Linked DNA regions of Oryctolagus cuniculus. The protein of the gene in region 3 purifies or fractionates together with the protein of the main gene of each other region. This does not show direct contact. Links are inferred from orthologs where the notes say so. Each region holds a gene or a part of one and is shown on either strand. Other genes may lie near its edges.

Region 1 (3,646 bases), on a different chromosome or scaffold from region 3:
TGTGGTCTAAATTTTGCTGCTTAACCCCACAACAAAACAGATCACTTTTATGGCAGCCCTAACATTGTTCTTTGTTGCCTCCTTTTCTCAAGTGTTCCTGTTTCTGTTTGAATGTTTCTTGTGAGATTTTGTGTGTGTGTGTTGCCCTTCATTTTAAGCCACTATTCCCTGCAGAAGTTTCATTTTGTCCAGGTACATTGATTAGAACCTAATTTTCTAATATTTTTGTTTTTCAGTTTATCTGAAAAAGTTAGAGTGCTGTTTCACTCCCCAGATGGACACAAAGGCCAGGCCAAAGCAGGAGCCAGGAGTTTCTTTCAGGTCTTCCACATGAGTGTGGGGGCCCAAACATTTGAGCCATTCTCTGTTTTTCCCAAGCCATTAGCAGGGTACTTGATTGGAAGTGGAGCAGCCAGGACTCGAACTGACGCCCATATGGGATGCTTGCACTGCAGGTGGTGGCTTTACCCACTACACCACTGCGCTGGCCCCATGAACCTAATGTTCTAATTGTGGTTTTGCCGATTAAAAATAAATGGGCTTGTGCCCATTGCCCCCTCAATAAGAAGACCATTTAAGATGAAATTACTTTTTTTTTTTTTTTGACGCAAGTTGCTATTGCTTAGCCATGACTGCCTTGTTTTGGTTTTGGAGTTGTATGTTTATTTTTTTTTACCAGTGAGTCAAATCTTGGTCAAGTTTCAGCTTGTACTAGGGTACTTCAGAAAGTTCAAGGAGGGGAAGAAAAAAGATCTCCAAAAAAAGGAAAGACAATGTGGGGTGTGTGTGTGTGTGTACACAAGTTCATGGAGGGGGGGCAAGCATTGTGGGGTAGAAGGTAAAGCCACTCCTGCGATGCTGGCATCCCATATGGTTGCCAGTTTGTGTCCCTGCTGTTCCACTTCAATCCAGCTCTCTGTTAATGGCCTGGGAAAAGCAGCGCAAGATGACCCACATGCTTGGGCCAATGCACCCATGTGGGAGACGTGGAAGAGGCTCTTGGCTTCAGCCTGACCCAGCTCCAGCCTTTTGCAGCTATTTGGGGAGTAAGCCAAAGGAATGGGCGATATCTCTGTCTCTCTAACTCTGCCTTTCACATAAAATAAATCTTTAAGATTTGCAAAATTTGAAATTCGCATAGATTTTTTATGTAACACATTTTCCATGAGCTTTTTGACGACCCCACATATTTCTTAAGTAAGTTGCATGCCTTGGAAGTAACCTTCAAACTTTTTTTAAGCGTTCAGTCTTGTACAAGTGAAATTTAGAAACAGATAAGTGGTCTAATTTGTCTGATGTTGGGGGCTAGAGCCTTACTTCTCAGTCCTCCATTTAAAGTTTCTTTTCTAGATGGTACAAATGGGAAAACATTGTTGATAAGAGACTGATGTAAAAATCACTGCTTGGACTATGGTGCCGAGGTACATTGGCAAGTTCTTCAGCCTAAAGGCGAGTTTTCACAGATCAAGGCAGCAAAGACTCCTCAGTAAAATTGAGAATGCAATTTCATAACCTCGAGGAGTCATAAACATAAATATGGGGTTTTGTATCAGCCATTTGCAGTTATTACCTATTTGTTAGGTGAGGAAACTTGAGGCCCCAGGGAAGTTGTGATTTAAGCCATTGGACAAAGCTAATTTTAGTTTCAGAGAGGATTTAAACTCAGTTTTTCTGACTTCACACTTTATTCTTTCCATTTTACCTGGTTGCCTCTCATAGAGAAACCAGAAACATCTAATATTAAAAATAGGACTATGGCCTGAAAATACATTTAGGTGGGAAATCATGATTTATGAGTGATGGGCAGTAGACTCCTGTGTTTGTGTTTTCTTTCTGCCTACCTTCTGAGTGCTGCTGTAGACAAGTGTTCACATTGATAATTAAAGCAGAGGAGGATGGCTCTGTAGGAAAGAAGCAAACCCTCTGCATGTTGTATTCTATTTCCTTGCATTTTTATTTTATTTATTTGAAAGGCAGAGTTGGAGAGACAGAAATCTTCGATCTGCTGGTTCACTACCCAAATGGCCCAATGGCCAGGCCAAAGCCAGGAGCTTCTTCTGGTCTCCCACATGGGTTCAGGGGCCCAGGGACCTGAGCCATCTCTGCTGCTTTCCTAGGTGCATCAGCAGGGAGCTGGATTTGAAGTGGAGCAGCCATTACTGGGATGCCAGAGTCACAGGTGGCGGCTTTTACCCTCTACACCACAACACAAGCCTGCCCTTGTATTTTTATGTGTGGGGATTGTAAAGTTAGTTACTAGAGGGGGAATAGGTACATAGAACAGCGTTATATATATCTCTACATATATTTGTTAAAGAAATTTTAATATGTTTTGAGAGAACTAGACTGGGTTTTTTAGTAACTGAAGATTTCTTGTAGGATGAGTGTGACTTATGTTCTTTCTTAAACAGACCCGAAGGAAAAGATTATGCCCTTCATTGGCTAGTCCTGGGGACTCATACATCTGATGAACAGAATCATCTGGTGGTTGCTCGAGTACATATTCCCAATGATGATGCACAGTTTGATGCTTCCCACTGTGATAGTGACAAGGGTGGTAGGTATATCATATATTCCAACATTGATGTTTAAAGAAGTGTGCCTCTTTAAAAGCATATGTTATTAAATATACTTATACTGTTAATTTTTGGTCCAGCAGCTTAACTTCTTGGACTTTATCCTACAGAACTGCTCACCCACATGTGTGCAGAGATTTCACATTATCATTATTTACAGGATTGAAAAATTAGGACCAACCCAGCAGCTCAGAATTTGGTTCATCGGAAATTGGTTGAACACATTATGGTATATTTGAAATGCTACTAAGCAATTAATGAGAATGAGAAAAATCCATATATATGTACCAGTATGAAAAGGTGTCCAAGATAATTTAACTGAGTAACTGGCATGAATAATTATAATATTCCATTTTGGTAACAGTGGCAATATGTGTTGATGTGTGCATAGAAAAAAATCAGGAGGTATGTATACCAAAGAGTTAATAGTGGGTTTATTTATGGGAAAGATGAGCAGTAGTAGAGTTAATTTAGGAAGCTTTTGAAAATTTCTTTTTTCTTATTGTCAAATACACACAGCCCCATTTTGGTATTCTCACAACCACCCTTAGTTTGGTGATTTCCATAGAAGGAGCTACAAGACTCTAGCCATTGGCAAGTTCAGGAAGGTCAGGCACAAGTCTCACTCAAGGCCACACAGGATGTGCTCTTTCTCTGGCAGCACACTGTAGTGACATGGATAGAAAACCTCTGCCCAGGGAAGCCCAAGTGAATCTTGGGGTTTGAGGCTTTCTTGGAGGACTGGTTGCACAGGCACATCTTGCTGGTAACCAGCCATGACAGCTGAAACTCAGGACCCCGGTAATGAAGCAGGCACATTATCGTCAATCTTGCTATTTGTACAGAGCAACCCTGACAAACTGGTACAGCATGGTCCATTGCTCCAGGTGTGTACCACAAAACCATCAGTCTATCAGTAGCGTAAAGAACATTGTGAGGTCCATGTTCCCAGGAGTTGGCCAAGGGTCAGTAATGGTCCCAGTGTCCTCCAGAGATAAAATGGCTAGGCAACCAGACCTGCTGAATTAACTCTTTCTTCATAGCTTCAACTGGTTTGATAACCTTAACAT
Region 2 (3,646 bases), on a different chromosome or scaffold from region 3:
TCTGCTTCTCCACGTGGCGCAGCGCGCACTCCAGGCAGAACACGACGTTCTCGTTCTCCTGGACCACCTGCGCAGCACAGCCAGCGTCACATGGGCACCACCCCTGTGGCTGGGGAGAGCTTGGGACTTCTGTGACCCCAGAGCACGGGACGTGGGGAGAGACCAGCACCCCGGAAGTGGCTCCCCCACCAGGGAAGTGAACTGATCCCTCTTCTCAGTGTCACACACAACAGGGGACTCGTCTGGAAGTGGCTGTCTGGGCCTCTGCACAGGGCCGCAGGGGAGGTGATGGAGATGTGGGGGGAGGCAGGCAGGCCTGATCTCCACCCCGGCCCAGCACTGACAGAAGGGGCACAAAGTCCTGCCACACGGTTCCAGTCACTGTGGCTTCTGGGAGCAACAGCGAGACAGGGCCAAGGACTGACAGACAGCTTACCCTCCACGCCAGGGAGCCACTGTGAGCCCCGGCTGGGGGTGCCCCAAGGCCCAGAGCCGTATCAGGGCGGCTGCCCACTGAGGGCTGGGGGCCACACCAGTGCCATCTGTCCGACGCTGGCCTGGGGGCTGGGGACGGGAGAGGAGGAACACCTTCCTGAGACCAAATCTGGATTGGCAGGGGCCACAAGGAGGCAGATGGGACTTGACCAGCAAGAGAGCGGACAGGAACCAGTTTGTCAAGGCAAATGGAGCCCAAGATGGGCGGATGCAAGGTCACAAGGCGCACATCGGAGCAGAGGGTGCTGGCACCATGAGCAGGGCACGAAGTTTCACCTGAACAGAATCCCACGTGTGAGAGGGTCACATGACCAAAGGACCATAGGGGCCACTCTAGCCCACCCTGCACGACCTCCCGGGAAGGAAGTGAGGAGCGCGGAGTGTGGAGCCCAGAGATGGATGAACGCCAGGAAGGGCCCCAGCACCCCGGGGAGGGCTCACCATGGACAGGTAGCACAGGTGCTGGCAGATCTGACAGCGCCGCTCCGACGTCTCCAGCTGCAGCCACTTCCGAGGCTTCTTCTTGCCGTCCGCCACCGCGCTGCTGCCGTCATGGCTGCCGTAGCGTGCGGAGGAGTGGAGGCCTGCCTCGAACAGCTGCCTGCGCTGCCGCAGCTCCGTGTCCCTGCGGGCCACACAGAGGCCGGCACTCCACCAGCTCTGCAGGGGGCCGGCCTGCCCCACACAGTGCACACGCGCGGGTGGGAGCCCAGCTGCAGCCCACGTCCCTTAGTCACTCACAACGTCAGAACCATCCAGACTGCTGGAGCCACCGAGGTGCCTCGCGGGCAGAAGCACGCCTGGCTGTGGCTAGGGCCCCTCTACCACTCTGAGCCCGGGACAGATTTAACAAACCTGTGTTGGTGTCACCATCAAAGCTGTGCCAACACAGGCAGAATCCCAATTGTTGCCTGCCGCCCACACCCCTGGGAAGGGGCAGAAATGGCAAAGCTCACAACCGGTTGCTAGGACCGGGCTGTGCAGGAAGCCACACTATCTGGTGCTCTTGGGGTGTCTCTCCCTCACACCCCCCCCGAGTGGGATGGCGCAGATGCACGCTCAGGCACTGTGGGTCAGTCGCCACACCATCCTCGATTGCTGGGGTGCAGAGGCCAGTGCTGGCGCCACAGCTCTCCCTCACTACCTGGCCACAGCCCTCTCGGGCGAGGCACGGCAGAGTCAGCAGGGCCCACCTCCCGCTCACACCAGGAGAGCTGGGCGCAGCAGAGCATGGAGCGAGGGAGAGAACGAATCCAGGTCCCCAGGGAGCGGCTGCTGCAGGGCCGGGCAGCCGCACTCCCCGGCCCGGAGCTCTTACCTGAGCTCATCCAGGAGGGCAGAGATGGTGCTGAGAGTGGGGCCGTTTTCCTTCTTGGCTTCTGCTTGCGCGATCTGGTAGAGCAACTTCTCCATGGAGAAGGGCTTGGCTATGTGGCGACGTTTCATTTCCTAAAAGCAGAATCACAGCACATCAGGTCAGCACGCTGCTGTCCAGGCGGCTGCTGGTGGAGGGAGCAGGCCGACGACCTGGATTTCCAAACCGGAAGCAGCAGGAATGAAGAGCTATGGGCAGCAAGTGATCTTGTTCAAAGGGAGAAAGGCATCAACACCGTGTCGCGGCGCCTCCACGTGAGGCGGAGGCTGCATCGTGAGAAAAAGCAGGGGTTTACTGCCGCTTACTTTGTTCACCCTGAAGCAGCTCGGGGAGGACACTAGTCAGTGCCAACCGACCCCTTGAAAACTTGCCCAGAAAATCCTCCCAGCCGACGCTTCAGGATTTCAGACAGACGCGCACACGCAAGGATGTGCTATGGGGGCGGCAGCTGGGCCTGCTCACCTTGGCAGTCTCGAAGCCCATACTCGTCCACTGGGTGGTGGCGAAGTGCACGGTTTCGGACACGCTGTAGCCACAGCACACTTTGGACACAAAGGAGCCCGGGAAGCAGACGACAAACTGGCCACTCTGCTGCACCGTCCTGTGCACCTTGATGCCCTCTCTGCACAGCACCTCTGGCGAGATCTGGGGAACAGGGCCAGGCTGAGTCCCCTGCCCTCCTCCCACGGCCTCGTTTCTCCTTTAGAACTAGCAGGAAATCATTCCTAATGCAGCAATAGTTCTAAATCAACACTGGCCGCAAAGTGACAGGCTGAGCCGGCTTCTTGGCCCCACCACCCCAGGAACCACACCCCGAGCCTTTCTGACCTCACCCAGCACTGCCAGGAATCAGGCATGGGGCCGATTACATAGCCAGAAGGCTGCTGGAGGGGCCGCTGTCATCCTCCAGGTGCCGGACAGCCCAGGATCTCAGAGTCACAAGCCCAAGGCACAGACAGTATCAGCACAGGCCAGAGAGACCCAGAGCAGCTGGTTCCTGCTGGTGGCTCAATTGGTATAGCACAGGCACACACAGAGCCACTGCCCTGACCGAGGCCCCTCGCCAGGGGCCACACAAACCTGCAGGCAGCCAGGCACACTCCCTACGTCCACCACCCAGGGTCCCGTGGGATGTGATGGGAGCCCGTGAAAGGCTGCTCAGCAAGAAGGGCGACTCCGCAGCACAGCCTCTGAGCACCCAAGGACAAGGCCCTGGGAAGCCGTGGGGCGGGGGGAGACGTACCATGACGTTGCTCTCCAGCATCTGCAGCCCGGGGGTGCCGTTGGCCTGCAGCAGGGTGTGGACCACGCCCTCCAGCTTGTTCTCCTCCTCAGCAGGAATGCAATACCTGTGGTGTAGCACACACAGGCAAAGTCCAGGCTTGCTAAGGACACTGTGCACAGGAGGGCCCATCCCCACCTCCCTGGGGGAGGCAGCACCCAGGTCTGCAAAGTGGACCGGGCCTAGCACAAGAGGGGTCCCATACGGCAGGGACAGGGCTGGCTGGGCACTAGGAGCTGTCACTGCCCACCACGGCCACGGTCATCCTGGCTCACAGGGCCAAACCGAAACCGCAGCCAGCCCACAACATACGAGAATCATCTTTTGTGTACATCTGACCCACACAGTGAGCCAAAGCCTTTCAACCAAAACCAGATGCTGGAGAAGCCCTCTAAACGAGAACCAGACAGAGGGCCATCTCTGCTAGCCTCTGGGGAACACGGAACCACAGCGTCTCTGCCTGTCTGAGTTCCGCACCGCCTACCCCTGCCGTA
Region 3 (3,646 bases):
CTCCCGTAGGTGACACTCATTAGGGTGCCAGGTTTTTTTTAAACTTCCAACCCTGAGTGAGGCTAGCTATAAGACAGCGTTATCACACAATGCAAGTGCCAAAAAACAAGGAGAAGGAGTAAGCTTGGGGCAGAGCTGAGAAGTGGGTGAGGCGGGAACTAACCACCCAACCAGGAGGAAGGGTCTCAGGGTGGGGCCGTGGGGCCAGCCCACTTCCCACTGGCCAGGAGCTTCAATAGAAAACCAGAAAGTTATCTCACAGTCCGAGGCACCTGGGGGAGTGGGGCAGGGCCTCAGCAAGCCCGAGCCCCGAGAAGCTGCCCCTAGGCAAAAGGATGGTCTCACATGGCCCCATACAGGGGCCCAACAGGGGGCAGAAGGGAAGCCCAAGGAGAGGGCGGAGCCCAGAGCCCAGCCTGGCCACAAAAGGCCTCTGTCCAAGCCTTGCCTGTGCTTTCTCTTCTTCTTCTGCGAGGGGTTCATGAGCTCATCTGTTGGCAGCTTCAGGATAAGTGACTCTTTCACTGCAAACTGAAAGACCTGGAAGAGAAGCGCAACAAGGCCGTCACTCGTGCTCCAGCCCTGTGCTCGGGCGGGCGGCCCAGCCAGGAGCTGGGCTCAGGAGGCTTGTGTGGAGCTCACAGGCAACTGCCTGCGTGCATTTCAGCGAGGGAGAGACGGAGAGCCACCAGGACGTCAGGTCCCTGGCTCTGGGGCTAATTCCTAACAGCTGACCCGGGCGCAGGACAGCAGAAACGCCCGAACACGGCCACGCCGTGCAGGCAGCGCTTTCGCCAGCTCCCTGCCCGCCACGCCGTGGTAGGCCGAGTCTCACCAACTCTATCTGCCTCTTTTTAGGAAGGGAACTTTGCGGGCAGCGCACAGGAGTGGGTACACGGGGCTAAGCTCTAGCGCCCCCTGTTGGTACAAAGATGTCAGAGCATGATACTCGGTATGACAGCAGCTCCAGAGGGCAGCGCCCTCCCCGAGCTTCTCACAGCTCTCATTTTACCCTCTCCTTTCTCTTGCTGGCTATGGGCCCTTCTGAGATTTCTATGGAAACTACAGTTCTCATCCTCAGGAAAAAACATATGTTTTCTTTTTGCATACAATTCTGTTGCCTTTTAGGTTAGTTAGGAACCTATACCTTAAGGAAATAGGTATGAGCTCCAAGATAAAAGCAGAGGGGACTCACGGTCCTCTCGACTATCCCAAGTGAAGGAGACGAGAGGAGGAGGCCAGGAGGGAGGGAGCCCTGTGCGCAGGCCCCGCCCCGGGTCTTCAGTCTGGCAGTCTCCAGAGCACCAGGGGCTGCTGTCGCACTGTTTCTAGGGGTGGTCTGAGTCCGGAGGGAAGGCTAGGCCCAGCTGCTGGGGGCAGAAGTAGAGAATCTGGACAGTACGTGACTTAGGAGGCTGACGGAGGGCGGGGCAGTGCGCTGGCTACGGCACCCACAGCTGGCCCGAGAGGCGCTTCCAGGAAAGCAGCACACATTCAGGAGCAAAGACAGGAAGCAGAAGAAGCAACCAGAGCGTGGGCCCAGCCAGAAGTACTCAGTGGTGGTAGCGGGGAGGGCAGAGCCCCGAGTGCTGCCAGGCCCAGCATTTGACGAGGGGCACGAGCCAGACTCACAGGCCCGCCAGACAGCAATGCGACGGGCAGAGCCACGGTGAAAGAGGGGCCAGCGCTGCTTCTGCAGCTGCCAGACAGTACCTGCTTGCATGTCTTGGTCCCCAGAAGCCTGGCTATGGAACAGAAGTTGTTGAAGTAGGTGCCATGGAAGACGCGAAAGAGCGACTCCTCAGCCCCGGTCCACTCCACAAGCTCCGACGGCGCCTCCACCACGCAGAGCTGCGGCGGGGCAGGACTGGCCTTCTGCTTTGTGGGCGTCTGACAGCGGGAGTTGGCCTCTGAGAGGGAAAAAAATCAGAAACAAAAGAAGGTGGTGTGCGGTTGGCTGCACACAGAACTTCGCTCTACCGCAATGGGAGAACAGTTAATGAAAACATTCCCCATCCCCACTGGCTGCAGGTGAACTCGCGGCAAGCATGAGCAGCCCAAAAAGGCGGGAACCCTAAGTGTGAGGAGAGGTCTCGGCTTGGCCGGTGTCCTCGCACAGGGAGGAAAGGCCCTCGTTTTCTGTCACTGTACCTGAAGAGCTGGAGGCCCAGTCATTTCCTGTGTCCCTGTCACTGTCTCCTTCTTTAGTCTCAGCCACAGCAGAGGCCGACGTGTTGGTGCAGGAAGCACTGACCACGTGGTGCCTTCGCCGGCGCCGGCCAGAGCACTTGGAGCGGGGGTTATGGAGCATGGCGTACTCCTTTGCGCCCTCCTGTGGAGACGGGGCAGGTAGGAAACAGGAGCATGGGTCAAGCCACCAGCCACCTCCCACTATCACAAGTGCAACACTGCTGCCTTCCGGTTTTGCTCCGTACCATACAGCGAGTGTGAGCACAGTCTGAAATTTACAGACTTCAAAAGCTGCCCAATGATTCTAAAAGAGATATAATCTGTACATATATGCATCTTTGACTTTCCAGTAACTTGTATCTGAAGCTCACTGGTGTTGCAGCTGTGTGGAATTTGAGCACACACACCCCTGCAGATGTGGAGACAAGGCTCAGAGGGGGCAAGAGCGCTGCCGGAGAGGATCCAGCACATTGTTCCGGAGCCAAAAGCCAGGGCTCCGTCCCTGAGGCCACTGCTCTTGACATTTTACCACACTATTTGTTTCCTTCTTTTAAAAATTGTATTTACTTATTTGAAAGTCAAGAGTTACAGAGAGGCCGGCGCCGCGGCTCACTAGGCTAATTCTCCGCCTAGCGGCGCCGGCACACCGGGTTCTAGTCCCGGTCGGGGCGCCGGATTCTGTCCCGGTTGCCCCTCTTCCAGGCTAGCCCTCTGCTGTGGCCAGGGAGTGCAGTGGAGGATGGCCCAGGTGCTTGGGCCCTGCACCCCATGGGAGACCAGGAAAAGCACCTGGCTCCTGGCTCCTGCCATCGGATCAGCGCGGTGCGCCGGCTGCAGCGCGCCGGCCGCGGCGGCTATTGGAGGGTGAACCAACGGCAAAAGGAAGACCTTTCTCTCTGTCTCTCTCTCTCACTGTCCACTCTGCCTGTCAAAAAAAAAAAAAAAAAAAAAAAAGAGTTACAGAGAGAAAGAGGTCTTCCATCCACTGGTTCATTCCCTAAGTGGCCACAACAGCCAGGGCTGAGCCAGACCAACATTCAGGCCTCCCATGTGGGTGTAGGGGCACAAACACTTGGAACATCTTCAGCTGCTTTCCCAGGTGCATCAGCAGGGAGCTGGCTCAGAAGTGGAGCAATGACCAGCGCCGCGGCTCACTAGGCTAATCCTCTGCCTGCAGCGCCGGCACACCGGGTTCCAGTCCTGGTTGGGGTGCCGGATTCTGTCCCGGTTGCCCCTCTTCCAGTCCAGCTCTCTAATGTGGCCCGGGAGTGCAGTGGAGGATGGCCCAAGTACTTGGGCCCTGCACCCGCATGGGAGACCAGGAGGAAGCACCTGGCTCCTGGCTTCGGATCGGCGCTGTAGCAGCCATTTGGGGGGTCAACCAACGGAAGGAAGACCTTTCTCTCTGTCTCTCTCACTGTCTAACTGCCTGTCAAAAAAAAAAAAGAAGAAGTGG

What was found.
Region 1: the proteins of EZH1 (region 3) and RBBP7 purify together in Homo sapiens (affinity purification with mass spectrometry; 4 studies listed by BioGRID and IntAct, with this or other methods). This does not show direct contact. The link is inferred for Oryctolagus cuniculus from reciprocal best matches to the Homo sapiens genes EZH1 and RBBP7.
Region 2: the proteins of EZH1 (region 3) and JARID2 purify together in Homo sapiens (affinity purification with mass spectrometry; 4 studies listed by BioGRID and IntAct, with this or other methods). This does not show direct contact. The link is inferred for Oryctolagus cuniculus from reciprocal best matches to the Homo sapiens genes EZH1 and JARID2.

Annotation. Positions count from the first base shown.
Region 1 is NC_091453.1:3,021,493-3,025,138, reverse strand, and holds part of RBBP7 (histone-binding protein RBBP7), read left to right. Parts: intron 1-2,411; coding exon 2,412-2,557; intron 2,558-3,646. UniProt on the Homo sapiens protein: Core histone-binding subunit that may target chromatin remodeling factors, histone acetyltransferases and histone deacetylases to their histone substrates in a manner that is regulated by nucleosomal DNA.
Region 2 is NC_091436.1:155,241,207-155,244,852, forward strand, and holds part of JARID2 (protein Jumonji), read right to left. Parts: intron 3,220-3,646; coding exon 3,114-3,219; intron 2,516-3,113; coding exon 2,333-2,515; intron 1,945-2,332; coding exon 1,814-1,944; intron 1,121-1,813; coding exon 937-1,120; intron 68-936; coding exon 1-67.
Region 3 is NC_091448.1:20,190,102-20,193,747, reverse strand, and holds part of EZH1 (histone-lysine N-methyltransferase EZH1), read right to left. Parts: intron 2,333-3,646; coding exon 2,152-2,332; intron 1,911-2,151; coding exon 1,714-1,910; intron 541-1,713; coding exon 449-540; intron 1-448.